4 linked regions of the Notamacropus eugenii genome follow. The protein of the gene in region 1 interacts with the protein of each later gene in a pairwise test. Links are inferred from orthologs where the notes say so. Each region holds a gene or a part of one and is shown in the gene's direction. Other genes may lie near its edges. The genes, in order: MTUS2, CDKL3, CCHCR1 and C4H8orf34.

The links.
Region 2: the proteins of MTUS2 (region 1) and CDKL3 interact in binary tests that used the Homo sapiens proteins (3 or more experiments, as listed by UniProt). The two-hybrid records come from large-scale screens. The link is inferred for Notamacropus eugenii from reciprocal best matches to the Homo sapiens genes MTUS2 and CDKL3.
Region 3: the proteins of MTUS2 (region 1) and CCHCR1 interact in binary tests that used the Homo sapiens proteins (3 or more experiments, as listed by UniProt). The link is inferred for Notamacropus eugenii from reciprocal best matches to the Homo sapiens genes MTUS2 and CCHCR1.
Region 4: the proteins of MTUS2 (region 1) and C4H8orf34 interact in a two-hybrid assay, tested with the Homo sapiens proteins (2 studies listed by BioGRID). The two-hybrid records come from large-scale screens. The link is inferred for Notamacropus eugenii from reciprocal best matches to the Homo sapiens genes MTUS2 and C8orf34.

Annotation. Positions count from the first base shown.
Region 1 is NC_092876.1:197,081,485-197,089,151, forward strand, and holds the start of MTUS2 (microtubule-associated tumor suppressor candidate 2), read left to right. Parts: upstream 1-4,661; 5' UTR 4,662-4,751; intron 4,752-7,667. UniProt on the Homo sapiens protein: Binds microtubules. Together with MAPRE1 may target the microtubule depolymerase KIF2C to the plus-end of microtubules. May regulate the dynamics of microtubules at their growing distal tip.
Region 2 is NC_092872.1:340,836,747-340,843,699, forward strand, and holds the start of CDKL3 (cyclin-dependent kinase-like 3), read left to right. Parts: upstream 1-3,929; 5' UTR 3,930-4,157; coding exon 4,158-4,245; intron 4,246-4,905; exon of another isoform or gene 4,906-4,908; coding exon 4,909-5,201; intron 5,202-6,953.
Region 3 is NC_092873.1:85,013,161-85,020,165, reverse strand, and holds the start of CCHCR1 (coiled-coil alpha-helical rod protein 1), read left to right. Parts: upstream 1-3,999; 5' UTR 4,000-4,024; coding exon of another isoform or gene 4,025-4,027; 5' UTR 4,028-4,096; coding exon 4,097-4,231; exon of another isoform or gene 4,232-4,359; intron 4,360-4,767; coding exon 4,768-4,834; intron 4,835-4,926; coding exon 4,927-5,143; intron 5,144-6,306; coding exon 6,307-6,610; intron 6,611-7,005. Other genes in the region: TCF19 (transcription factor 19), read right to left, coding at 1-154, 2,024-2,261. UniProt on the Homo sapiens protein: May be a regulator of keratinocyte proliferation or differentiation.
Region 4 is NC_092875.1:288,735,685-288,742,538, forward strand, and holds the start of C4H8orf34 (uncharacterized protein C8orf34 homolog), read left to right. Parts: upstream 1-3,839; 5' UTR 3,840-4,165; coding exon 4,166-4,234; intron 4,235-5,177; exon of another isoform or gene 5,178-5,257; intron 5,258-6,854.

The DNA of each region.
Region 1 (7,667 bases):
TGGGCTATTTTATCCAGAAAGTTGATAATCAGAGGGAAGAGACATGGCTTGGTAGCTTCAGGGTGCAGGAGAGTAAAGTTTTTTTTTTTAATTAAGATAGTGGAGATTTAAGAATAATTATAAATGGGGGAAGGAGCTATCAAAGTAAAAGCCACAGGGCATTCTCAACATTTCCCCTGTGGTCTCTCTGGAATGGCAAGTAAAAATATTGCCTTATTTTCAAAACATATTATACTCTTTGCCATAATTAAAAAAATGAAATTCTAAAGAGCTGCTTCATTTGAAACAGGAAACACCTGTTTTTTTAATTTAGTGCTCGGGGACTAAACATAATCATTTCATTTTCTTAATTTATGTAGAAAAATTCCACCTTCCATTCTACTTTCAATATAAACTTTATTAAACTAGAGATTGTGATAATTCATCATTAGGTCTTGTCAGTTCATCTGTTTTTCTCCAGACCCAGGTTCATTCTTTCCAGAGAAATTAGGAGCTTTCTAGTTATGGAATATGGCTGGAAGTAAAAGCACTATCAAGTGAGAGTACCATGGAGTTGTGCAGGCAAAACAATTTAGTGCCCATCAAGATGCTGGGCACAAAGTTCCACTTAATTAATATTTAAATGAATTGAATCCCTTATTTCCAAGTTGAGAAAGGTCAGGTAATATACTCTATGACAAAATCAGAATCCTAAAAAAATCTTGGTAGATAGAAATGAGTGAATAAATCCATTAGGATGAAATTTATTGGGAATAAATGTAAAGAATTATACTTGGTTTCAAAAACACTAATTCCACAAGCATAGGAATGAATACTTTTGGCCTGACAGCAGATCATTTAAAAAAGAGCTGAGGGTCCACCCATTCCTATTAAAAGCAATAGAAAGCATAGGGATAAATGAACCTTTTCTTAAAATAAGTAGTATTTATCTAAAACCAAGAGTAAGCATTATCAGTAATGGGGATAAACTTGAAGACTTCACGATAAAATCAGGGGTGAAGCAAAGATGTCCATTGTCACTGCTATTATTCAATATGTACTAGAAACACTAAGATAAGAAGAAGAAATTGAAGGAATAAAACTAAGCAATGAAGGAACAAAACTATCACTCTTTGCAGATGATATGGTATCATATCATTATGGCATCATATCATATGGTATCATTATGCAGATGGTATGTTTAGAGAATCCTAGAAAATCAACTAAAATTAGTCGAAACTATTAGCAACTTCAGCAAGGTTAAAGGCTATAAAATAAACTCACATAAATCATCACTGTTTCTATACACTACCAATAAAGTCCAGCAGCAAGACACAGAAAGAGAAATTCCATTTAACATAACTTCGGACAATATAACATACTCGGTAGTCTACATGCCAAGAGAAATGAAGGGATTATATGAACACAATTATAAAATATTTTTATACAAATAAAGACGGATCTAAACAATTGGAGAAATATCAGCTGCTCATGGGTAGACTGAGCCAACAGAATAAAAATGATAATTCTATCTAAATTAATTTACTTATGCAGTGTCACACCAATCAAACTACCAAAGAATCATTTTATAGAGCTAGAAAAATAATGAATGAATAAAAATTCATCTGGAAAAACAAAAGATCAAGAATATCATATTAATGAAAAAAATGTAAAGGAAGTCAGCCTAGCAGTTCCATATTTCATACTATATTACAAAGCAGTAATCATCAAAATAATCTGATACTAGCTAAGAAACAGAGTGGTGGATAGGAGGAATAGATTAGGTACAAATACAGAGAAGTAAATAACCATAATAATCTATTGTTTGATAAACCCAAAGATCCAAGATTTGGGGACAAGAACTCGCTATTTGACAAAAATTGTTGGGAAAACTGGAATGCAGTTTGGCCGAAACTAGGCACAGACCAACATTAATACTATATACATAAACAAAACCAAAGTGAATAAATGATTTAGACATAAAGGTGATATAAGGTAAATTAGGGAAGCATGGAAATATGTACCTGTTAGATCTATGGATAAAGGGAGAGTTTATGACCAAACAAGAGATAGAAAGGATCACGGGAAGTAAAATAAATAATTTTGATTACATGAAATTAAAAGCTTTTGCACAAAGTAAAACTAATGCAGCCAAATTTAGAAGGAAAACAGGAAATTGAGGGAAAATTTACAGCATTTTTTTAAATAAAGGCCTCATTTCTCAAATATATAGAGAACTAGAACTGAATCAAATTCAACAAAATAAGAACCATTCCCCAGTTGATAAATGGTCAAAGAATGTGAACAAGCAGTTTTCAGAAGAAAAAAATGCTCTAAATCCCTACTGATTAAAAAAATAAAAGTTCAGACCACTCTGAAGAACTACCTCATACCTATTGGATTGGTTAATATGAAATAAAAGGTACATGACAAATGCTGGAGGGGAAGTGGAAATACTGGGACACTAATGCACTGTTGGTAGAGTTGCAAACTAATCTAATCAATCATTCTGGAGAGCAACAGGAACTATGTTCAAAGAGTTATAAAACTGTGTAATCTCTGACTCAACAATACAGTTACCAGGTCTGGGAAGACTTACATGAATGAATTCATGCAAAGTGAAGTGAGCAGAACCAGGAGAACATTGTGCATAGTATCAGAAAGACTTCACAACTCTGATTAAGACAATTTCAAGGGGCCTGTGAGGAAAAGTGCTGTCCACATCCAGAGAGAAAAATGATGAACTCTGAATATAGATCAAAGCATACCCCTTTTCACGTTATTTTTCTTGTTTTATTTTTGTCTTTTCTTTTGTAACATGACTAATGGAAATATGTTTTACATGACTTCACATGTATTATCCATGACAAATTGCCTTCTCAAGAAAGAAGGAGGGAACAGGGTGGGGGGAAGAAAAGAATTGGAACTCAAAGTTTTAAAAAATGATTGTTAAAATTGTTTTACATGGAGGGGTTTAGTCAGGTCGATGAGTAAATAGGGGTACTGTGTCAAGCAAAAGGTGTGAAAGGTAATAATAGAATTCTATTGTGCAGAAAGTTGGAGCTGTCAGCTCAGTGGTCTTGTCCCTTGTTAGAATTTATCTGGAATACAGTTCTAAGTATAATATTCTAAGGGGAACATTGACAAAATGAATTGGATTCAGAGGAAGGCAACTAAAATGGGGAAGAGATTTGAAAATATGTCCTGGAAGAACTGGGGACCATTTAGATTTCAGAGGTGACATGGTGACTATTTTCAAATATTTAAAGCTTAGGTAAAAGGAGATTCTGCTTGGATCCAGAGAACAGAATCTGGATATTATAGGGAGTCAGGTTTTTGGCTTAATATTAGAAATGACTTTATAGAACGGTTCAAAAATAGAAACTGAGTAGTGTGGCCATATTGTGTTCCTAGCCCTGCCAGCTAAAAGGAGAAGGTTGAGATGATGGTAGTGGAGTGAAAAGAATACTGGATTTTGAATCAACTAAAAATCTGGGTGAGCTCCTTATCACTGCTATAACCTTGGGTGGTTCACTTCTCCTCTTGGGCCTCAGTTTCCTCATGTGCAAAATGAGAGGGTTGGACTTTTAAGATCCTTTCCATCCCTAAATCTATGTTGCTATGACCCTTTGGATTATTGCAGAGGGACTTATGTCTCATAGTAGGAAAACCTGTGTACTCTTTTCCTAAGCAGATGCTTAGAATGTAATGCCTGGAACTAAGCACAGTATTCCAGATGAGGTGTAAGCATCTTTAGCTGCTTAAGAAAAGAATATACACATAATTCTTCCTATATTTTCCTAGAGGCATAAAGTATGCACAGCCCTCCCTCACTCAAAACAAAGTCAAGTGCAAGTCACGTCGTTATTTCTCTGATGTCATGGTCTTCTTCGAAAACGAAGGAGGAACGCAGAATAAAACACAGTATTATTAACAATATTTAATAATACTACAAGTCATCCTTTCACTGAACGTTCCTGCCTCTCATAAACCTTAGTCTAAAGTTCTTCCTAGTGCCAAATCTAAATTCTTCTGGTTAGCATTTAAACTTACCGCCTCTTCTATCCTAAATGTTAATTACAGTTGATATTGACATCCTAGATAGTGATACACTTGCATACACAGCCTGACTAGGAGAGCCTCTATTATTTTCTCCTTTGTCGGGACACAAATATTCTGCAGTTCAGAGGGCCAGGCCAGGATCCCCAAGCGCTTAAGAGGTGCGAATGAAAACGCCCATGCTTTTAGGTGCCTGGGTTAAAAAACACAAAGTACCTGGGGGGCCGCTGTTCCCGACGCTTCCATCGCCGGGGGTTTGGGGGCTGCAGAGGGCGCTGTTCGCTCATCTCCAGGCTTGCGGCTGCAGCCGACAGCAAGCCCTGGGCACCGCTGGGTGGCTGGAGGCGCCCTCTGCTTTCCGTGCTTGCTGCCGCGTTGTGGGGGTGTGCACGCCTCCCGCTCCCTCCCGCCCGCTCCCCAAGCTGTAAGGGAGGGCAGTAAATCTGGAGCGAGAGACACCGGCTCCGCCGCACGTTTCCAGGCGCCGGCTTCACAGCCGCCGCCTCCACCTCTACCGCTGCTTCTCTTTGTCCGGGGAAAGGAAGGAGGGAGGGAAGAAAGGAGGGGGAGTTGCTGCTGCTGCTGCTGCTGCGGCACCAGGTGCATCCTCGGAACCCTCCACCGCTCTGCGCCCCTTCTCCCGGGCTCTGCGCCGCGCGCCTGGAGACCCGTGTCGAGCGGCCGCAGCTTCCTCGGGGGGTACCCGCGGACAGGTGAGTCCTAGGTGGGGAGTCGGGCTGACGCTAGGGCGGCTGCGAGATTGCTGCTGCCTCCGCTCGGCATCTGCGTGTGGGATGCGTGGGAGGTGTTTGGTGGTGACAGTTGTTGGAAGTGCAGCCCAGGTGTGGCTCCATTCCTTTCCCTCTCCCGGCTCGCCCCTCCTTTCCTGGACCGCTTGGCAAGTTCTTTCTGCCTGGGCACCCGCAATGACCTTTTCCCCCTCCGAAACTTCGGACCCTCAGCAAGACCCCGCGCCTCCTTCCAGCCCCCAACTACTGGAAAACACTTGGAGATGGGGGTCCGGGTCCTAGCTTTTGGCTACAGCCTAATTAAGTGTCGTCGTGCGCTTAGTTTTGGACATCTTCCTCGCTTCCTTCTGGAATTGCTAAGACTAGGGTAACCGATGGGGATCTTCTGGGCTGTGTCTTTATTTTTGGCCCTGGCTCCCACGTTCATGGGTGTGGGAGGGAACAGTTTAGACCATAGTAGGCATTTCCCATTCCCCCCACCCCGAAATAAGGCACCTCCTCCCTTCCCCTTTGCAAGAAGAATTGCCCTGTGCACCCCGCATGCAGATAACTGAGATGCAGGAGCTTTTTGATTCCCTCTTGAATGGTGTCGGCGATTGCGAAGCATATATGGCTATATGGGGCACACACGTGCTGACTGTTTGGGTAACACAAGGATTTCCTAAGGGTGGGATAGGTTAGTTCCAAGACTGGAGTGTCCTCCCGGCCTGGGATGCTACAGTCTGCCGCCGTACTCTTAATTTAGCATGGTCATGCTAAGTCCTTTGAACTTTATAATGAGACCTATTTTATTTTTCATACATACATACGATTTAGCTTGGAGGATATGCACAGAAGGGATTTCTGGCACATGAGAGTGATGGTACTACCGTTCTATTTTAAATACAAACGGGGAATAAGTGTGTCTGGCAGGATACCAGAAGAAACCCATACTCACTGTTATGCAAGTACATTTAAAAATACCTGCTCATTGGTTAGAATGTAAAGTGATCACCGAGGCCTCTAGGGGGAAGCTGAGAGAAGAGCTAAGAACATTTCTTCCTCAAAACAAAAGCGTGCCAGAAGGGGTGATCACGTCTAGCTTGAGGTCCTCTCTTAAGATGGTATAGGATAGTTTTAGACAGCATTTCAACCGTGGGAAGAATACTTGAGGCATAAAGCAGATAACAGTGCAAAGCATTTAGGAGAATTAAATGAAACAGATATTGTTCAATAAGTCGCAAAGTCGGGTAAAAATTATTTGACTGTTACCATGATAGTGGTAGAAACAGAATTCAGAACTTACAAGGTTTTCAAAAATTTTTGATAACATTTTTTAGAGGCTATTTTTGGAAATTTAGTAATATTCCTTGCTAGTTAAAGTAACTCAACTAAAAGTGGATTCAGATAAAAGAAGGACTTTCTGGTTCCTTTTCATCACTTTTAATGATTAATCAGATTAGGTATTTTGCTGGCTAGACAGTGAAATACAAACCCTACAAACCACACACTTGTACAATCCTGCTCTGAGTGTATCTCATCAGGCATCACCGTGACCAGTTCTATGCAGGGATTGTTGACTGACTTGCAATCATCAGGAGAACAAATATTCAACAGGTGATACTTGGCAAAAGACAACAGATAAGATGCACAACAGTTTGTATTATTACTAATTGTGGGTTTGTGTGGATCAAATTTTTTCTTTTACTTTGTGTGACAGATTTCACTTTGGTTACAGAAGCAAAGAAGAATATAAAAAATAAAATGGAAAGGAAAGATACCATTTTTTCGGGGGTCCCAGAAATGTGAGTTCGTTGGTATAGGGAACTCCCTGCGTGGAAACTGCTTATTAATGCAGCTGAACACTTACTCTGTGACGTATAAACTTAGTTACCTGCATGTCACTGAAAGGTTAAGTGATTTTGATACAGATAGTTTGCATTAGAGATGTAAGAACTTGAACTCAGGCCTTCTTGACTCAGGAGCTACTGTGCTTTTCCAATAGTAATTAAAGATGGATAAAATAAAGTTTTGCAAAGGACAACTGAAGAATTGTTACATATACTTTTTATGTAGTCTTTTTGGAAATATACTAGATCTTTATTTCAGTGAAATACTTGTAACTTGTAATTCTTTCCAACATTCAGGATCTGACTTTTAAAACTTGAATATGCCATAGTCTCTTTTAATTTTTGGAGACATCAGTGACAGATTAGACAGCAGTGTAATTATTTTTATTTGCTTACAAAATAACATAACCAATAGTCATTAAGCATTTCATTATTTTCTCTATCAAATATAAAACTGGTTGTTGCCTTTGATATAAAATAGCACAGACAGTTGAGTGGGGTGCAAAAAACTTCTTTGTCTTATAATTTTTGTCTAACACTTCTAGATTTAGATATTTTGTGTCTGGTTTCAGCAAATGTTTTATGTGGAGTCTTAGGTAAAAGGTATGATTGAGTTGAAGGTATTTTATGAAACTCAGGTTTGGCTATTTTGTAACTGCCAGCAAACTATATTATTAAAGTCAAAAATAGGGAAACAGGGATGCCTGGTGTCAGTTGACCAGACCCAATACTGTAATAAATTAGAGGACTATTTCTGTAAGTGGAGAGATAAGTACAATGTCTACAATAATGGTTCCCCTTGGGTTGTTCATGAATCCAGGTTCTTAACAATGATCCAAGGAGTTTGCATTCAAATTTTTTTTAATGATTCCTTAAGCACTAAATAGTTGTGAAGAATATTATGAGTAGTATATTAAATTACCTTGGGGATTCAAAACATTTTTGTTGTTGTTGAAAGGGGTTCATGGAACAAAAAAATGTTGGGAATTACTGGTCTAGAAGATTACATAAGTATGTCTCATTATATGTGTAAGCCCTTTTCTAAAGATTT
Region 2 (6,953 bases), on another chromosome or scaffold:
AACTGGAGAATAATGATAACTTTGAAAGAATTAAATATTCTGATCATTGTAATGATTTCAAAAAACCAGTGATGAGACTCTTGATAGTACAGAATTATCAATTTGGACATTTGGATGTGGCCATTGGAGAGATTTGTTTTACTTGATTATGTTTGTAATGGATTTTGTTTTGGTTTTTTTTTTCATTCTCAACTGGAGGGAGGTGGGTTGATGTTGGAGGGAGAGAAGGTAGAAATTTTTGCTAATGAAAAAAATGAAATGTATTTTTTAAAAGAAAAAGATAGCTATAAAAAGTATAGATGAGGCACAGTCTTTTATATATGGTATGTGAAATACAACATACCTTTTTGAAAGTGCTTTGTAAATAAAGTTGGACTCCATTTATTTTATTAGAGCTCAGTGAAGAGGTTCCCAATTCAAGACTTTTATTTTTCTGAGTAGAGCTTGAAGGTGTGATCTTAATACCCTTCACACATATATTCTCCCCTTTTAATGTTTTATATCTGGTAGTTGCAAAGGACCCAGAGATCAGAGTCAAGCATGAGGAAGCAGGGAGGGGTGTGTCTTCTGGGTTTTAAGTAAGCTGTGACATTATCATTAATATTATTTGCTAACATCAAAGAGGCAGCTAGTGGTCCTGGAGACAGGAAGACCAGAGTTCAAATTCAGCCTCAGAGGTGTACTAGCTGTGTGGCCCTGAGCATTAACCTCTATTTGCTTTTGGAGAAGGAAATGGCAAACCACTCAAGTGTCCTTGCCTAGAAAACTCCATGGACAGTATTGACATGCTATGGTCCATGGAGTCACAAAGAGTCAGATACAGCTGAACCACTGAGCATCAACAATTATTGGACTTTATGAAAGTATCACAAATAATATAATATACATTTATTAAAAACTACTTTGATGAGTACCATGAGAGGTACTAGGTGAAATATAAAGTTTTGGTCTGATGCAATTCTAGTATTTATCATCTGCTTGTAGTGTGTAAAACATTATACTGGGCACCAGGGATACAAAGATCAAGCTTATTTTCCACTGACAACATATAACGAACAGTTAATATAAAGTATATATAAAGTAAATGGTACAAGTAATTTGGGGAGCGGGGAGGTGGAAGACACTAACAACTGGAGGAGATGAGGAAGGGCCTCATGTAATAGGTAGCACCTCAGCTGAGCCTCGAAAGGCACTAGAGATTCCAAGAGGAGATCAGGAGGGGTGGCATTCCAGTCATGGAAAAAAAGAGTCATGCAAAGGCACAGAGGTAAGAGGTGGAATGTCAAGTACCGGGAACAAATACACCAGTTTGACTGGAATGAAATGTTTGTATAGTGATGTCAAATACTGAAACCAATTAGGTAACTACTGGAATAGTCCAGGGGACAGGAGTGATGAGGACCTGAACTAGGACACCAGGCACATGAATAAAGAGGAAGAGACAGATGCCAAAGATGTGAGGTCGTTCCCTGTTGCAATATTTTAAATGTTTCTAAATGCAGTTTTGTGTCAAAAACAGTTATTTTCCAGAAAATCCAGAACACACCACTCTTCCTCTTTTCTTCCTCCTCCTCCTCTTCTCCTCTTATTCTTCTCCTCTCCTCTTCCTCCTTCTCTTCCTCCTCCTTTTCTCCTCCTCTTCTCCTTTCCTTCTCCTCCTCTCCTCTTTTCTCTTCCTCTTCTTATTCTTCTCCTGTCTCTTCTCCTTTTTATCCTCTCCCTCTTGTTCTCCTCCCCCTCTCGTTCTCTTCTCCTCCCCCTTCTTTTCTTCTCCTCCTCTTCTTCTTCTCTTCTCCTCCTCCTCCTCCTTTTTTTAAACATTTTTTTTCTCCAAGATATATAGGTAATCATGGACTAACTCAAAGGACTGCCCATCCAACTACAATTACAATGGATAACCTGAACAATAAATATTCTTCATCCAGTTGGTTTTTCTTGTGGGGATTGCTAATGTTGTTTGTAACACTTCCACCAGTATAGCCATGGCTGTGAATAACAGAAAGGAAACCCACATTTTTCTGAAAGGTTTCTTACCATAGCTCTGGATTAGCAGCTGTAGGAAACAAATCTGAGCTGTGCAACATAGCTAAAATCATTCCTCTAGAAAAAATAGGACATTTTACTCACAAAAGCACATCCATATTTCCTCCTACCCTATGACACATACAGATATCAGTCCTTTATCCTTCTCAAAATGCCACATAGACAATGATCCAGAAAGTCTTTCCTCTTGTTTTGGTTCAGACCTGTGATTTCATCAATGTGGGGAGCTCCCAGGGTAGAAACTCCCTCCAGTGATGTACAATGGCAATTTCTAGTAGTTTAATTTTAACCTTGAGGCACTAAGATGAAGTGATTTGCCTACGATCATAACTGTAGTATTTGCCAGAGACAGGATCTGAGTCAAGCTCTTCCTATTTACCTATCTTCTCTCAACTACTTCACTCTACCTGGTTCTCCTATGTTAATTAGTCTTCAGTCTCCTTTACTGGTTTTTCATTTCCTACCTACTAATAATGTGGGTGTCTCCCAAGGTTCCAACCTGAGCCCTCCTTTTGCTTAATACAGTTAATACACTCTCACTTGATGATCTCATTTGCTCCCATGGGTTGAATTATTTTCTCTATGCAGATGATTTCCAAATCTGCATATCCAGCCTTAGGTCAGAATTGACCACTCCCAGCTATTTCTTGGATAGTCTGAACCGTAGGCATCTCAAATTTAACATGTCCAAAATAAAACTCATTACTTTTCTCCAAGCCTTTTCCCAACCTTTTGGTTGAGGATGCCATTCTCCAATCACCTAAGCTCCCAATTTTGGTGTCATCCTTGCCTCCTCAATCAATCCCATTACCACACTTGCCTTTTCAAAACATCACTCCTCTAGATCTCCTTCTCTTGCCCGCATACAACCCCAAGCCTAGTTCAGACCCTCATAATCTGGGACTACTACCACAGCCTTCTAATGACTGGAAGTCTTCTTGCTTCAATGATGTATTTCCGACTCCAATGCCAAGCACTGGATCTGATCCCAACGTCACTCTCCTGTTAGGTGAGCGCCGATGGCTTTCCATTTTCTCCCACATTTCTCCAGTTTTCTCCCTATAAACTCCTTTTCAGCATTTAAAGCTCTTCCTAATCCGGCTGCTTCCTGCCTTGCACCACATCCTACAGTGGCCCATGAACTCCAGTTCTCCGAGCTCCACGTCCCCCTCCTGGAAATGCTCGGCCCCTTCAGCTCAGGCTCGGGCTTCCTCAGAGGTTACCTTCCTCACTGTGCCCCTGGAGGTAAAAAGAGACATCAGCGTGTTGTTTCCCCGTGCGCACGTGAGCTCTCTGAGGCGGGGGACAGGGCTTTGTTTCGGGGGCCGGTTCCCCCCATTTCCCCCGTTGTATTTCCAGCGCTTAGTGCATACGCTCTTAGTACAAGCTTGGTGACTGCTAAGTGCAATGACCGGTCGTGATGGCCGGGCTTCCGTGGTCCGCGCTCCCCACCTCCCACAGAGGGGGCTGGCTGCCTTTCCTTCTTTCTCCAATGAGGGCTGAGGAGTTGGGAGGGAGGGCGGAGAGGAGGCCGCTGAAGTCCGGATCGTCGCGGGCCCTCCCGGCCCGGCTGTCCCGGCCCCGCCGGCGCCTCTCTCCGGCTCTCCCTCCGCCGAGCCCGGGTTTTTCATTTTGGATTCTTACGCCCGAATCCTTACATTTCGGCCAACATTCTTCCAGTCACTGACCCGTCTGCCCTTTGACAGAAATCACTCTGGCTCCAACGACTACGCGAGAAGGGGCTGATGACGAGGACATTTTTCCAGCCCATTTGCCCTCTCTCCCGCGGCCACACCCACCACACCCCTCCCCCTAACCCCCAGGCCGCGCCCACCTTCTTTTTACTCTTCTGTCCCTCGCTGCTTGCCGTTCCGAACCGGGGGTGGGGATCCAGAAGCTTCCGGTCCTGCGCGCGCCGCACCCCGTCACCGCCCTGCCGCCGTTGCCATGGTAGTGGGTGGTAGGCCAGGCGGGCAGGGCGGGGCCGCGTGGTCGCGGCCGGCTGGGGCTGGGGCTGCGACTGCTCAGAGCCAGGCCGGTGGGGCCGCAGGATGGGCTGAGGCGGCGGCGGCGGCTGCCCTGACCAGGTCAACGGCGGGGCGGAGCGGAGGGGGATGCTGCCGCCGGGCCTGGCCCGGCCGGGGCCTGGGAACCGCGGGTTTGATGAGGGGGATGGAGGATTGAGGCAGTGTGGGAGCCTAGGTAATGAGAGATTACCCCGGCGGGGCACAGGGGGGAAAGCTTGGGGCAGAAGTGCTACCGTGACCCGTGAGGGGCCTGAGGCTTCTGGGAACTTGAAGAGGGAGGTTCTGATCGGGGGTGGAGGTGGTGCGGCGGGGAGCGGAGTAGAAGGGTCTTACCTGGGGGGACTCCCTGGGGGTTGTAAAGCCTGGAGGGGGGGAGGAGATAACGGGCGCTTGGAGGACTGAGACCCGCCCGAGGGCTGAGGCAGGAGAAGTGAGGCCTAGGTGGGTATGCGCAGTGGGAGTGGGATGCCAGCCCCACCTTGGCACCTTCAAGATTGGGGAAGGTCGTAGAAAGAGCATAGGTGGAAGGTTCGAGGTTTGTTGGGGGAGGGTCAATATGGGAGCCCCACGTTTGATGAGATAGGACTGCGGTTCCTCCAGCCCCCGGCTGGAAGTGGGTGATGGCAGAGGTCGTGTGATGGGCAGGATTGAAGGCATGGACCGGGACGGTTGGGCGCAGAATCACCAGGTCATCCTGGGGAGCGCCTGTGGCAGTGCCCCAGAAGGACGGCAGAAACTGGGGGAGGGAGAAAACTTCGGCATTTTCTTTTATTCGTCTTGTATTTGGGACCAGATGTTCACAGACTTCTAAATACTCAAAATTCTTTGTTTTCTGTAGGAATAACTTCAGGTGCGAATGGATTTGTTCTAGAAATAGATCTCCAGCCTGGAGCAAGTACAAGTATAAACATTTGTCTTTTTTCCCCCCTCTTTATTTCCGTGAAGAACCAGAAACCAGTCTTGAAAATGGAGATGTATGAAACCCTTGGAAAAGTGGGAGAAGGAAGTTATGGAACAGTCATGAAGTGCAAACATAAGGATACTGGGCAGATAGTGGCCATTAAGATATTTTATGAGAAACCGGAAAAATCTGTCAACAAAATTGCAATGAGAGAAATAAAGTTTCTAAAGGTTTGCTTCTTTTGCCTTAATTGCTATGTGAGTCAAGAGAAATGACTAGGAAATAAAAGCTGTTTCCTTATTAGGCTATATTGACATAATTATGTGCTGTTTGGGTGTGTACGTATATACATATGTATATACATATATATATATCCATGTACTAGTAGAAAAAAGAAGTGCCATATCAATTTTATTGTTTACCTCTTATGATTTATGGGAAAAGCTGTAGAGAAGTTTTAGAAAGTAGGTATTTTGAAATTATAATACATGTAACATGCTTTCACAAAAATTCAACTTTTTGTCTACAAAAACCATGAGGGAAGATTCAATCCCTGTTCTCCAGGAATTTACAGTTAAAGGAGGCAGATAGATAAATAATAAAGTGTAAATGTCAAATGAGTTGTACCATGAGTGCTGAAGGAAGGGGTTCTTAGGAGCCCTGTGGTTTGGGAAAGGTTAGAATTTGAGATGGACATTACAGGTTGGGTAGGATTCAGATAAGTAGAGAAGGGTAGGTATTTCTGGCCAGGGTAACCTCCACAGAAAAAGTAGGGAAATAGGAATGTATAGAAGGTAGATCGTTTTCAGTGGGTAAGAAAAGATAGACTTGGAGAGTTAGATTGAGGCCAGATTGTGGTGGACTTTGAAATTTCACGCTAAAGTTCTTTGAGTAGGAGACAAAAACGTAGGAAGTAATAACCTCAGAAGAATTTAACCTGATTTGACTGCTGCCAAAGATAACTGTTTGCAGTTCTTAAAGTTTTTAAAAAGTTATTTGCATTCCCTAGGTAATGCAAGTGTCATTATCCCTCTTTTAGGGAAAAAGAAACAGGCTTGAGGAGGCAACAATAGGAATCTAATCCAAATCTTTTGACCCCCAAGTTCAGTGTTCCAGAGCTAGTCTTGAGTGACTGGGGGAATTATGGCATCACTACTGTCTAGGAACAAGTGGTTTGAAGGGGAAAATGAGTTCAGTTTTAGACTCCTTGCATTTGAAGTTTCATTATTCAGTTTTGAGATGGGAAGAGATGCAGATCTGTATAGAAGTGATCTTTGAAATCATAAAATCAAGAAAATACAGGGGAAAAAATTAGATGAGAGAAGAGCATAAATGCACATGTAATGCTTAAAATACTTATGCATATATTTAGTTATTAGGATATGAAGTGGAAGGGTGAAACAAAATTCTATGAGTTTTGTTTAGAAGGTAGTGCTTTTCTTTTTTTAAAACAATTTAAGAATATAGTTGTCTAGATACTTATTTTAATTTGAGCTATATGCAGAGCAAAGATAGTGATCACCTATAAGGGAGGCAGTTTTTTTCTTTGTCTAATACAAAAATAATATTTTTGCTTTTTGTGGATCTACATTGTTTTTCAGGCATGTCCAGCTCTTTGTGACCCCATTTGAGGTTTTCTTGGCAAAGATACTGGAGTGATTTGTCATTTCTTTCTCCAGCATGTGGATATACGTTAGATATGACCAATTTTGTAAGAAGAAAGGTATAGGTATTTTCTGCCCTAAATAAATGGCTTATTCTATACAATGAAAAGGAGAGTGGAGTTGGTATCATTTTGTGGAGAATACAAGAGGTAGCATAAAGAGGTAGCCTTGGAGTTAGAAAGATCTAGGTTCAGATCCTATCACTGAAACTAGCTACATGACTGGGCAAGTCATTTAAACTTTATGATCCTAAGACTACTTTAATAAGTCATCCAACACTAGATTTTTACAGTGAAGAAATCACAAGTTCCTATATTT
Region 3 (7,005 bases), on another chromosome or scaffold:
AAGTCTTGGGGTCGGACTCTGACACGCTGGAACATGAAGTAGAACTCAGGAGGGCTGGCTCCCACAGGCCCCTTAGGGCCAAAGGTTAGGAAATCACCGTCACTCAGTTCCAGTTGGTGACCCCTGGGGAGCCTGACATTGTTGACCAAGGTACCTGTAAGTAGGAGAGTGGAACAGAGAGAGAGGGAAAGAGAGGGAGAGAGATAGAAGGAAAAACAGATGAAGAGAAGAAAGGCAGAGAAAGGAAGGCAAGACAAAGATAACAGTCAAAAAGTCATGTAGGATAGCCAATTTCCTAAGGTGAATCATCCTCTCCTCCCATTTCAGCTTCACTCAGATCATAACCTCAAGCATTTTGACAACAGGGACTGTTTTGTAAACTGTTAAAACTAAAAGGGGCTTTAATCATTCTTTTAGTGCAGGGAAAGGGACCAGCCCAGAGTTCCATAACACACAAAGTAAGAAACAAGCTGGAATTTGAATCAGGACCTTGATTCTATAAATGATGAGTTCACAGGCATAACTAGGCATTCTCTCTAGTTTCCTATCCTGCCTGGCTCCAGGTAAACTGAAGGGATTGGCTCCCCCAATCATCTCAGCTCACTGCTCCTGGGGGTTTCCTAACAAAGTTAGCACAGAATGGAAAGAGTTAGTAATTCTTCCCCTGTCCTTTTAAAATCATATTCTGTAAAGACTCAGTCTTCACTGACAATAAGAAACCAATGGGGCTAGTTAGACACCCAGACCTGTTCCAAACAGGGACAATCTTAGTTTTGGGATTCCCCCCTCCCACCAATAGGGACCTTAGGGCTTCCCTGAGGCTTCTGAGACACAGAAGAAACCTCCTATTTCTTTTGGGTCAAACATTAAAAAATCTTCTGGATCAAAAGGAACCTTTCCTGAAATCTATTGACAGCTAGATGACTCAGTGGATAGGTTGGGAGTTAGAAAGATCTAAATTAAAATCTGGTCTCTTAAACTGTGTGACCCTGGGCAGATCACTTAATCTGTTTGCCTAAATCCACTGTAGAAGGAAATGGCTATTGCAAGGGCCAAGAAAACCCCTGGATAAAAGTCCAGAGGGCATGAAACGTCAGACAGCTAAACGGTTGAACAACATGGTCAGGCCAAAGTAACAAAGAAAAATACTAAAGCCTTGGGAACCTGGACTAATAGTGAGCAGCAGAGGGAGTGTACCTTGGAGATGTGATCTTAAAAAGTCCCTATATTTATTTAATTTCATTGCCAACTCCTGGAAAACCTGTGCCAGAGCTTCCCTGCCTTTTCTCTTCTCTTCTAGAACTGAACCCCACTCACCCCCTTTTTTCTTGCTCCGCAATAAAATTGTTATCTTGTGTACAGTTCCCTTGGGACCTGTTTTATACTTTCCAAGGTGAGCAAGCTTGCTGATCTGCTAAAACACAGGCAGTGTGTATGGAGTGTGAAAGAGTGAGCTCTAGTAACCTTTTGACGATTACTAACTATGTGACCTTGGGCAAAGCATAGTTAGTACCCAGTTTCTTTATTTGTATCCCCTTACCTAGTAAGCAGTCCCTGTAACAAAGATTATAATATTTACCCTACACTTCACAGGATTGCTGGTAGGAAAATGACCAATAAACCTTAAAGTGCTATAGAAACATGAATTGTCACTTAATCTGAATCTCAGAAAACTATAAAATGGGGAAACCTCACACAATTGTTTTAAAGATCAAGTGACATGGGATAAATGCAACAATTCTGTAATAAAATATAAATATGGAACTAATCTCATAACTCAACCATGGAATTAATCTGCTCTGAAAGGCTTTCATCCATATACACACATATCACATATAGCACATCACCCTAACAGACAGCAGGTACCTTTTGGAGACAACTTAAGTCTTTTGATCTTTGCTGTCTAATCTAGAGGAGGAATCTGAGTGGCAATGACAATTGGGTCCTAGGGTACTTCTCAAATCATACCATACCTATTTATACCTATCTGCCTAAAAAGAGAGCCAGCCACGTCCAGGCTCACCGTAGCTACTGCAGTCCTCCAGGCTGACTCTCCAGTCGTCACCTTGGCTTTCAGCATGCAGCTTGGCATGGACCGGGGAGATGAGGACAGGCTCACACTGGGGCCGAAGGGCCACATCACACAGGTCAGCTCTGAGGCCCAAGTGGTAGGTACAGCCAGCCCCAGTGGGAGGGTGAAAAGTATAGAGATCTCCACCCTTCCCAACCCCCATGCGAAGCAGCTGGAAGCAGGGCAACATGGGGGGAGGGGCTTTCCCCTATGGACTCCCTTCTAAAGTCAGGGAATACATAGCTCTTTCTACCCTTGGGTAATTAAAAATGGAGAGATGTTCAGATGCAAACTTGGAGTACAATTCTTGTGCAATTCGGTTCAGTACAACGAAAATTTGGAAGGTATTCAGCTCGCAAACCGAGGGGGACAACTTGGCCTTGAAAGAAAAAAATTAAGGTGTCATCCCCGGTGCAATGCAAAACTAGGGAAGATGTATCAGGCTAAATTAAGGACCGGCTCGTAACCCGTGAAACTAACTAACACCCGGAGTATTGGATACTATTGTATACTCAGTTGGTACAATGTAACAGTAGGGATCGTAATGAGGCCGGTTTCCACCACTGTTTAATAATAACTTAGTTATTCGGTGCAATTGGGGGCGAGGGGGCCCTTTCTTTCAAAAGGACTTTTCCAGAGGTCCTCCCCCCGCAACTTTCCTGGCTCAACACCTCACTCTTGTCAGGGGGCTTAAGAACCTTTCAAGGTGATAAGACTGCAACCCCGGAAATGCGGGCTGAGGATCCCTATTTCTGGAGTAAAGCGAAGCAAGATCCCTTACCTCCCTCCCCTCTGGAGTGCAATGCAAACCTGGGGTCCTACTGCTTCCGAAGCAATGCAAACGCGGGTCCCCCCAGCCCGGGCAGCCTAATTTCGGATCAATCAGTGCCGGACAATCTCAGCGTGCCGTGCCCCTCCCTCAGGCAATACAAACCTCGACCGAGGAGGCTAGGACCCCAGTCCCCCCTCCACAGGACCCCCACCCCACCCTGTCCCCCGCGCGCACGCTCGGGCTGAAGTTTGACAGGGCTAGCAAAAGCAGAGGGCTCAGGCAGAAGCCGGGCCCGGAGCGGAGCTGGGCGGAGCCTCCGAGGACAGGCGAGCGTCCAACACCTTCGCAAACTCCCCGGGCCCGAATTCCGCGCGCCTCAGATACCCCGCCCCCTCCCGATGCCATTTCCCCATTGGACAGTCCTCATTCCATCGCCCAGACCCCATTGGGCGGTAGTCAGGAAAGGCACAAAAAGGACCCGGCGCGACCGCTTTCTTCGCTTCCCGATTGGCCATTGAATTTTCCCGGGTTTCAGGGAAAGGAGGAGGAGCTCGGTGGGGAGGAGGGATCTGTAAGGGCGCGGGGATAGGCCGAGTCCCTGGATTGGTTCACCATATGGACGCCACGGCGCTTGCGTGTCTCGATTCGTCCTCCCTCCCTCCCCATTCCGAATGAAGTACGCGGGTCCCGGAGCCCGCCGGCTGGCCCGCTCTGCGCAAGCGCGGTCAGTCTGTGGAGGGCGGGGTACTTTGTGGCGGAGGTGGGGCAACAAGGGGAGGGTGGGGTCTCGCGCTGGGTAAGGGGGCACGAGAGTGAGTCAGTTGAGGGCGGGAAGGGGTGGAGGGGGGCAAGGGAACGTGGGCACTAGGGAGCTGAGGGGGACAGGGGCAGGGCAAAGGAAGTGCTGGAGGTCTGGGGCCGTGGGGCGAGGGGGCACCGAGAGACGAGGAACGGGGCGAGGAGGGACACGAAGGGCCCGGGGAAGAGGGAGCAGGAGCTAGGGGAGGCTTGGGGGAAGCGGGGGCGCTGAGGGGCGGCCAGAGAGCTGCAATTGTGACGGGACCCGGGCCGAGCAAATTAGAGGGAGGGAGGGGGGAGCGTAGGACGGGGAACAAAGTGGGTGAGAGAGGGGGCGGGGCACGGGGGTGCAGGAGAGGCGGGGAGGAGGGCGGCTGGAGTGGATGGTAAGCGCCATAGAGAGAGAAAGTGAGAGCATCAGGGTGGGATGAAAGACAAACTAACAGGGGCTAGAGATGAGCAGAAGGCCCCACATGGGCAAAGGACTGTTAGACTTCCTGCTCACCCAGGAAGATGGTTCCGAAAATTGCTTTGCTGTTAATGGTAACTCGAGATCTCTGCATCTTACAGACTTCGTCTGGTGCCAAGCAGTATGCTGACTCTTTGATGGGGAGTGGGAAATCAGTGTTGGGAATAATGGTGGGGGGGAGGGGATTAACCCCCGGGGCCACCCTGAGCAAACCATCCAGTGGAGCTGCTTCCCTAGCCCTTTAATTCCGTACGTGCTCACTCACCTTCAGATCACAGAATAAGAAAAGTAGAGCCCAAAGGGGAGAGAAAGGCGCTACCCAAGTCCTATGAATGCCATGTAGACCTTCAGGGGTCTGGAGGCCTTAATCCTAGATCCTGCTTCCCTTAGAAAATTATTTTTTATCGTGGGTTTTGTGTTATGGAGTCTCTTATCAAAGCTAGGTGGGAGCCAGCCACTGATTATTTCATAGATGTTCCAGTTTGTCACTTTCAAAAATGAGGGTGATAGGGATGGGGAGGGGAAGGAAAGAAATGATAACTGGATAGATGTTAAATTACCTAAGGAATTGGCAAGGTTATCATAGGATCTTTCCCAGGGATTGGTTGGAACCTTGGAAAATGAATTGGAGCTTGAGGTGTTTCTCTTGCTCCACAGGAAAAAATGGATGGCTGGAGAAAGAACCTGGAACCCCCATCCACTTTTGGGATGTTCCAGTCTTCAGGTAAAAGGGATAGGGATGGATTATGGAATTGGAGATTGCATACCCTATTTCTATACCTTCAATATTGACCTTTCTGTCCTCTGCTTACTCAGGTCTCACTGGGCTCATGCCTCCATCTCATTTCCAAACACGGCCCCTTCCAAGCATGTCCAGGACCACTTCTGTCCAGTCCCCACCCTTACCCATAGTCCTGCCTTCACCCCATCACGGCTATGATAACAATGATCGTAGATGGGAGCATCATAGACTACAAATTTTGAGAGAACAAGATGGGGCAGGTGATAGTGAGGATCCCAAAAGAAGGACCAGGTAGGGATCTAGTTATTCTAGCTTCTGCCTGTAATTGTTCTTCACTTCTGTGTTAATTATTTTTAAAAGTTTAATTGATGGATTTTTCTTTTATTTTCCATTAATTTCCATATATACCCTTCTCTCCTATCTTACCCCACAAGCCTTCCCTTGTAAGAAAGATAGAAAACAAACAGTTCTGATTTTTTAAAATTCTGTGTACCTTCTGCTTTTGTGTATGAAATTTGAACTGTATTATTTGATCTTTTGTATTTTTTCTTGTCTCACGTGTATATCCTGACTCTTCTAAATTTAATGTCTTAATAAAATTATTGATTTTAGAGTGGAGTTACAGGCAGGTCTATCTTAGATCCTGTCCGCTACTGTTTTTGCTCCTGAATTACCAAAGGACTTTGTTATAAGGCAGCCATGGATTCTGAAATAACATTGTGATGATATTAGAGCTGTTTCTCAAGGACTGGGATCATGTCTTTTATTTTTATTGCCTCCTCTCAGAAGGTTTAGGAGAATTTATACCGTAAATGCTCAATAAATTATTAACCAGCCCCTATTCTTGTCACATTAGAACAAGAGGATCCATTGCCTTCTCTGCCCCTACCTCAGGTTGGAGTTCAGGCTCCTCATTCTCTCAAACCAGAGCACAGAAGACTGAGTATCCCTTCCTTTTCCACCTCAAGCCGAACTCTTAGATTCATAATGTCTTCATCTACTTGTGAATCAGATATCCTAGCACTCATTGTACCATTCATGAGGTACACTTAATTGATGCAACTATGCAATAGATGCAACTGTTATCTTTTTACGTATGTGAATGCCTTCCCTCAACTAGGATAAGGCCCGTTAAGTACACTTAAAGGTATAGATTATGGTACATACCTTTTTGTATCCCCAGCATCTAGCTTAGTATCCTACACATAAAAAGTGCTAAGTAAATGTTTAAGGAGTAGATCACAGAATCCTTACTGTTTCCAGGTTTTGCATCCTCTTGTGTGTCTGACTGACTTCCAGTTTCCCCCGAGGCACCCTTTTCACTTCCTTATCCTTACATATCAGATCAGAGAAGTCCTCATAACTACCTAGATGGAAACAGAGCGGCCCTCTTGTCCATCCCTTTCTTGTGTAAGACCAAAGAGGCCATATCTCACCTATAACTTTCCCCAAAGGTCCCTGGACTATGTAGGGCCACAAGGCTTGAATTCCCGAACTGAAATGATCTCTCAACAACTGGAAGAGATTCGGAGACTTGAGATTGAGAGCCAGGCTTTGCGGTTGGCTTCAGTCCATCAGAAGGCTCATCTGGCAAGCCAGGGTGAGGAGCTGGAAGTCTTAGGACAGGCAAAACAGGCAATGCGGGTTGAGGTGGAGGAGCTTCGTGCTGCTTTGGCTGGGGCAGAGCTCATTCGGAAGAAATTGGAAGAAGGAAACAGACAAGAGCTTGAAGAGACTCAGAGGGTGCACAAGGAACAGGTGAATGAGAATAAGAAAATACTAGGTGTTAGTTGGGATTTGTCTCAGTTCCACATGGTAGGGAATTAATCTGAGATAATCACTTTAGCAAAGATCCTTTGATATTCAATTAGAATAGTAATCTGCTTGGCCAGGAAGATGTTGAGAATTGAGAGTAAAGCAGAACCTGAAGGAAGCAGGCTGGGGCTGTTAGGATAGGGTTCTCTCCATTCATCCTCCTTGTTCTCTTTCCCCACTTCTCAGAATTCAGATATCCTGCTTCTCTCCCAAAACTTTCATTTACTTCTTAGTACTCAAATATTCTACCTATTTTCCTTTTGGAACTCATGTTAAAATGGACCCCAAACACTATCTGCCTAGAATATTGCTGTAGTCTCCTAACATGTCTTCTTCCA
Region 4 (6,854 bases), on another chromosome or scaffold:
CACCTTCCATCTATTTCTTAGCTTTTCTTCTATCACTTCTCACTGCTGATCATTCTTCTCATCCTTTGCCTTGACATTGGCTCTGTTCTAGAGGTATCAAGATCATATGTATATAAGATTATAGACTTGTGTTTGTCCTTCATTCTCGAAGAGGACCATGACATCATGAAGGTGATGCCATGACATGCAAGTGAATTAGATGTAAGTGAGAGAGAGCTGTGCAAAGTTACCAGCCTCACAGTCTTCCGAAGCCACCTGGATCCAGTGACAAGAAATAGATCACGATGACTGGAGATGGCCCCTAGGATCATAGACAGAACTAGAAGAGATTTTAAAGGTCACATAAGTCAACCCTCTTAATATACAACTGAGATAACTATGTCTCAGAGAAGGTAACAGCAGAACTGGGCCATAAGTTAAGGTTCTCTAGTACCAAATCCAGGGCTCTATATCAAATCTGTATCAAATCCTCTATATTAATCTCAACAAAAGATAAAAGTGTTATGTAAAAAGGTGTATGTCACAAATTCCTCTCAACAAAATCAACAATCATGCTTAATTAAAATACATTTCAAGTCATAGTATAAATTGCTGGAAACATACTGTTGGAAAGATACTTTCCCTCTAAACTGAATTCAGTATTTCATAGCTAAGTGCAATTGATCATATTCCTGATGCTTCCTTAATTGAGTGTCACCCAAAGGCTCTTAAGGTTTTCAGAATGGCATAGAGAAAATAATGCTGGAAACAGAGTCTGACGATCTGAATTAAAATCCCTGACTGGGTAACTTAACTTCCTTGGGTTTCAGATTCCTCTTTTCTGATATGAAAGAGTTGATCTCTAAAGTCCCTTTCAGGACTAAATCTATGATCATCAAAGGCAAGTATCAATCACTAGTTCATTTGCTTCAGGTTCTGTGATGGGTGTCCTCCAGATGGAGTTAAGCAAAGACCAGCAGGTATTCTAGGCATTTGATTATATGCACTTCTAAGCTGCTTTGACAAACATATCTCTAATACAATGAGGACAAGGCAGTGTATTCACAAGACTTGAAAGGAAGAAAAGGATACACCAGAAAAAAAAAAGACTAAGATGTGATGCTATTAATATACATGACTACAGAACTTAAGAATGTGTGTGTTTAACATCTTCAATTACTTTTTTTCTAATCTAGGAAAATATTAAGGAAAGAAGGAAGATCATATTGCTGTAAATTTTGATAATCATTGTAATATAATTCATGAATTTTTTTAATGTTATTCATTGTTAAATAATTTCCAATCCCTAAGCCTTTTGAAAGCAAGGGCCCTAATTTCTATATTCCAGGGCCTCGGTACAATGTTCTCAAAGAGTTAAGAATTTATTAACTGATTGACTGGCAAAAGCCATCATTTTACGTCTCCTAAAAATTCCAGGCCCTTTATTTCAGAAATAGTCATGAATTTTCAGTACTATATTTTGTTTTAACTTTTATTTTTCTCCTTGAAAGTAGTAGTCATTTAAATATTTCCTCATGGCGGACCTTGAATCATACTCGCTATCCTAATAAGTAACTTATTAAGTCTTAGCTTCTCATTTCCTTTCCTTACAGCACAACAGAAAAAATAATTGTGTATGTTTATACACATGCAAACATATGGGCTCACTAGACTTTAGAACCACAAGCGACCTTATAAATAATTAATTCCAACTCTTTAATTCATTTTATATGACACCTAAAATATATTGAGACCACTAGAGTCAAAGTGTCAGACTCTTGCTTACTATATAGAATGAATCTGTTTTTACTGAATTTAAATCCACATAGGCGGGCCGTGAGAGTACTGCATTTAGAGCAGGTAGCTTAGACATCCTCAAACAAAATCATTAGAAGTTCATGGATAAATTGCTGGGTTTATTAAAGTCCCTGATCATTAGAGGAGTTTCTATCTCATCTCTGAGTTAAGATCACATGTTATCCCTTGGAGAGAATAGACTTTCACATAACTGTAGCATGTTCCCCAGAGGAGAAATAACTAAAAAGCTAAGGGAATAAAATAACACCCATAAGTAGATATTTGAATTCTAGTCACTCAGACATATAGCAAAAAGCTAAGTGCCTTTTAGGGCTACAATTTAAGTGAAAGTAAAGCATTCCTCTTAAGAAAAACATCCAAAGATGCTAATGCTGAAATTATATCACCTTTTAGTAAAGGTATTCTTAACCTGGGCTCCCTGAATTTTTAAATATTTCGTAACTATATTATAGTTTCTTTTGTAATTCTATGTATTTTATATGTTTAAAAATATTATTGAGAAGGGGTACATATGCCTCATCGGACCATTAAAAAGGTCTGAAACAGCATGAAACAACAACGATGTTCTTAAACCCCTGTTTTAGTGGTTCCCTGAACTCGGGGGCCATGAAAATGATGTTCTGTGCTATATCCTATTCCTAGAAATGAAGAATGTAGAAGAAATGACTGTTTTTTTCTCAAAACCAATTTTCACCACTTCATAAATGCAAACCTTGGTGGATGAACATTTGGGAGACAAGAAGACACTGGAAAGAAATTCACTAGTATTTTCTATTTAGGTTTGTTAAGTCATTAAAGCAAACTTAAACTTCTGAATAGGCTGTGAGGATGTACAGCAAGTACTGAAAAAAGAATCATAAGCCACACTTTGCAAATTTAAACTAAGCACATTTAAAAATGCTCAGCTTGACTGTTTACTTAAGGTAGGGTACCAATCTAAAAGCAGGGATTCTTAATGTGTGTGATGGAGCCTTTTCACAATCTTGGGAAGCCTATGAATGTATCCCTTCTCTGAATAATGTTTTAAATGAATACAATGAAACATAGGATTTGGAAGAAAGCTAATTTTACTGAAATGGGATCCATGATTTTTTTAATAAAATGATAACTGTATTATAAGTTAAGAACTCTAAATATAAAGGAATGAGAGAACTGAGAGCAAAATCGAGATCAGTACTTCTCTAACCGTTTCAAGAGTCTTCTCCTGGCACAGTGTACCTCTTCTCCCCCCACTCCCACCCCGACCTCCACCCCCACCCCTCCCTCTTGCAATCACTTTCCAGAGGGCCATAGGTGAATGACAAGCAAAGAAGGGGGTATTGGAGAGGAGGGGTTTAGATCTGCATTTGCAGACTGCCTCGGAGTAGCCAACAAGCACCAGATTTATGTGCACTTTGAAAGAAGCACCTTCACTATTGGCTTTTTGAGAGGTGCTGTCGCTAGGGAGCAGCTGGTAGTGAAAGCACAGCAGCTGGGGAGAGCTGGGCTGTTGTTCCAGTAACCAAGTAGCAGAGAGAGGCGCACACAGGAGACACACACACACACACACACACACACACACACGCAGAATCCCTGCTTTTAGACTGTTATCTTTCTTTAAGGAAGAATTTAAGCCAGGTATTTTGAAAGGTTGAAAGGACTGTTGATTTAGATTTGCAAAGTGTAGCTTATGATTTTTTTCAGTACCTGCTGTTTAGCCACTCCACCCAAGCTGCCAGGAGCCCTGGGGTCATTCAGCTTTCCCCTCTGTGCGCTCCATGTGGTCCAGCACACAACGGATCCCTCCTCTCTAGTCTCTCTCTCTCTCTCTCTCTCTCTCTCTCTCTCTCTCTCTCTCTCTCTCTCTCTCTCTCTCTCTCTCTCTCTCTCTCTCTCTCTCTCTCTCCTCCTCCCCCCCCTTCCTTCTTCACCCTCTCCTCCAGATGCCCAAAGGAAAGCGAGGAAACCCCTCTCTTTAATTGTCGTTCCTCTCTGGGTGTGCCTTTAGGGAAAGGAGTCGGGGGCGGGATGAAATGAATGAGTTGTTCCCTTGTAGACCGAGTTGCTGGAGTTAGCATCACGCCTGGGACTTCCTGCTCCCCCCACCCTTATCTCCACCCCCGCCTTCTCCGCTGCCCACGCTCCTCCCCGCTTTCCGTGTGTTTCCCTCCTTTCCTCCTCTCTCCCTGTATCTTCTCCCCGCCCCGCCAGCCGGCAGCCCGGCTGTGCTGGGAAAGGGCGGGCGCCGGCGTCTGCTGGGGTGGGTGAGAGCTAGAGCGAGCTCGGCAGTGCCGGAGTCGGTGCCTGAGTAATCTCGGGGCATCTGGGGAGGGAGAGAGGACCAGGCACTGGGGAGAGGCGTGAAACCCTCCCAGTCCGGGCGCTCTCCATGGCGCATCATCAGCAAACGAGGATCCAGGCTTACCTGGAGAAGAACAAAATAGGTCCCCTGTTTGAGGTAAGGCTTTCTGGCGGCGGGGCTGGAGGATTCATCTTCAGGCAAAAGAGGGGACATCAAAAAGAAACCCAAATGGACATCTGGGAGAGTAGGAGGGAGAAGGACCTGGCAGAAGGGGGCGCCCCGGCCATCCCAGGGTACCAAGGCATTTTGCTCAGGAACAGCCCCCAAGGCTGAGAATGGGGACAAGGGGTTCGGGGGCGGGAGTGGGGGGAGCTGTTCCTAGGTTACCTGGGCTGGAGACGTCCCCGGGCAGGCAGGTGAGATCGACAGGAGGAGCGGGCCAGAGGAAGTTGAATCCGTCTTGGTGGCATGCCAAGCTGTCTTATTCGCTGTTATCTGCATGCTGTCCCCCAATCACAAACACAGGTACCCTCACAAGCGGGCACTATCTCCCTCAACCCCCGCCCAATACACACAAAGCACACACATGCCCACCGTTGGTGTGCTCCTAATATAATGCACACGCTACCTCCCTGTATTCAAAACTCTCTAGGTTTGTTCGATTTTGAAGGGAGATACGAAGGTGGCAGGAGCGAGAACTGGAGAAAATACTACTTAGCTTTATGGGGTGGGGGTGGCTTTAAAAGAAGACACTCTCACTCTAGCCGGGGGCCCAAAATGGGCTGGGCTGGAGAGAATTCTACTGAATCTCAGACAGTGTGTGTGTGTGTGTGTGTGTGTGTGTGTGTGTGTGTGTGTGTGTGTGTGTGTGTGTGTGTGTGTACACGGGGACGGGGGGAGACGCATATTTGGTTAAAAGGGGGAAAAGGATTCAAGAAAGCTGCTGCCCAAAAAGATGGGTCCAGGCAGAGAGAGAGCCTGTTGGTTTGTGAGACAGAGGAATTCAAGCGAAGGAAAGCGTCCCATCCGTTGCCAGGACACTGGGGTGGGTGGGGAGAGTGCTTTGAAGACTGCAGTCCCTAAGTCAGTTCAGTATATATGTTAAGGAGTGGAGGGCGGAGGTGAGGGCGGAGGAGAAGGCCGTGGCGGGGGACCCACTACTCATTCCCCACTCTTTTGGTAAGTCCCAGACTTCAGCGGCCCGCCCGGCTCCAGGCACACTCCTGGAAGAAGCATGGGGAAGAGGGTCGGTCTCACTAAACAACAGTGGTGCTCACACCTCCCGCAGCATCTCTGCTGCATCTGAAAGGGAAGCAGAAGCCGGCATCAGGGAGGCGTGTGCCCTGGTAGTAATGGAGAGACAGCTCTTTCGCTTTTAGGCTGTTTCCTTGTGACTGAATTCAAACTAATGTGAGCTGCAGGGAAATGAATGCAGATTCCAGGGGAACTGGTGATTCGATCTATGGAAGATGATTCACTTCCCTCTCTTTGGACCTCAGTTTCTTAATTTGTAAAATGGAAAGGAGTTAGACTAAAATCTAATCACTTAAACATCTCTTCTGTTTCCAAACCTATGATTTTAAAGGTTTCTATGATCAATGATTTAGAACCCCTCATCCACCCCCTTTTAAAACTAATAGGAGTGGTTTTAAAAGTGAAGGAGCTACCTTTTAATTCTTTTTAAATTGTCATAAAATGCAGAACTGCAGTAAGGTATATCTGGATATCACAAAATTAATATTGACAAGGAAGGGTGAATACTACTTTAAACCCAAGTTATTTATCATTATTCCTCTCTTTGAAAAATACTAGCCTGATTTCAACTGACCTGCATTACTATTTGAACAGGAGGATAGTGGTCCAGTAATTGTCTTCATTTTTCCCCCTTGAAAGAGGTAACAATTGAAAACACAACTGTGAGGGAATGGAGTTATTGATGCAACTCTAATTCTTTTCTTTGCCTTTAGTCTAATTATTGCACACAATGCATTATTTCACATGTATGATTTTAAAACAGACTATTTGAATAGTCTTTCCACCAGCACATCATGTTAGCTACATCTAAAGAACAGCTTAGTTTTAACTCAAAGAAAAGGAATCTTGTATTTTGCTAGCTGTTCTCTCAGAATTCATTATGCTTTTAAAATAAGATGATGAGAGTTTTCATTCTTTAAAAAATCTCTTTGTTATAAAGATGTCACAAGTGTAGATGGTGGTCAGTTCTAGGAATGATTACAGTGTTTGGTACTTATGTAAAATTGGGACATACTAATGTAATCAAATAAATGCACGTGTAGGCTTGAGTGCCTGTTTTCATTATTCAACGCAACTGAATTCTTAGTTGAAATAATGGTGCATCAAAATCCTTCACTAAACACTTACCTCATTTTACCCAGATGACCTCAAAAGTCTCTTCCAGCTCTGAGTTCTTATGTTCTTATCCATGATCCCCTTTCCCCTTATTTTCTGGGTCCCTATTATGTGCATTTCTCCTAGCTTGGACTGACTTGATGAAGTGATCTTCTTTCTGGGGTTGATAAGACATTGGCTTTAAATCTTTAGGAGAAAAAAATGTAAGACCTCAGAAAGAAGGATATCTGGACCTTGATCTTCTTGTAACAATTTTGATAAAGCCAGAACTTGGCTGTCAGAGTGAAGAAATTACATATCCTTCACAGAATCACAGAAATGAGAACAGGAAGAAGACTAGTAGGTTATAGTCCAATTATTAACTCTTTGGTACAAGAAAAGCAGTTGATACAAAGCTATTTGTGTT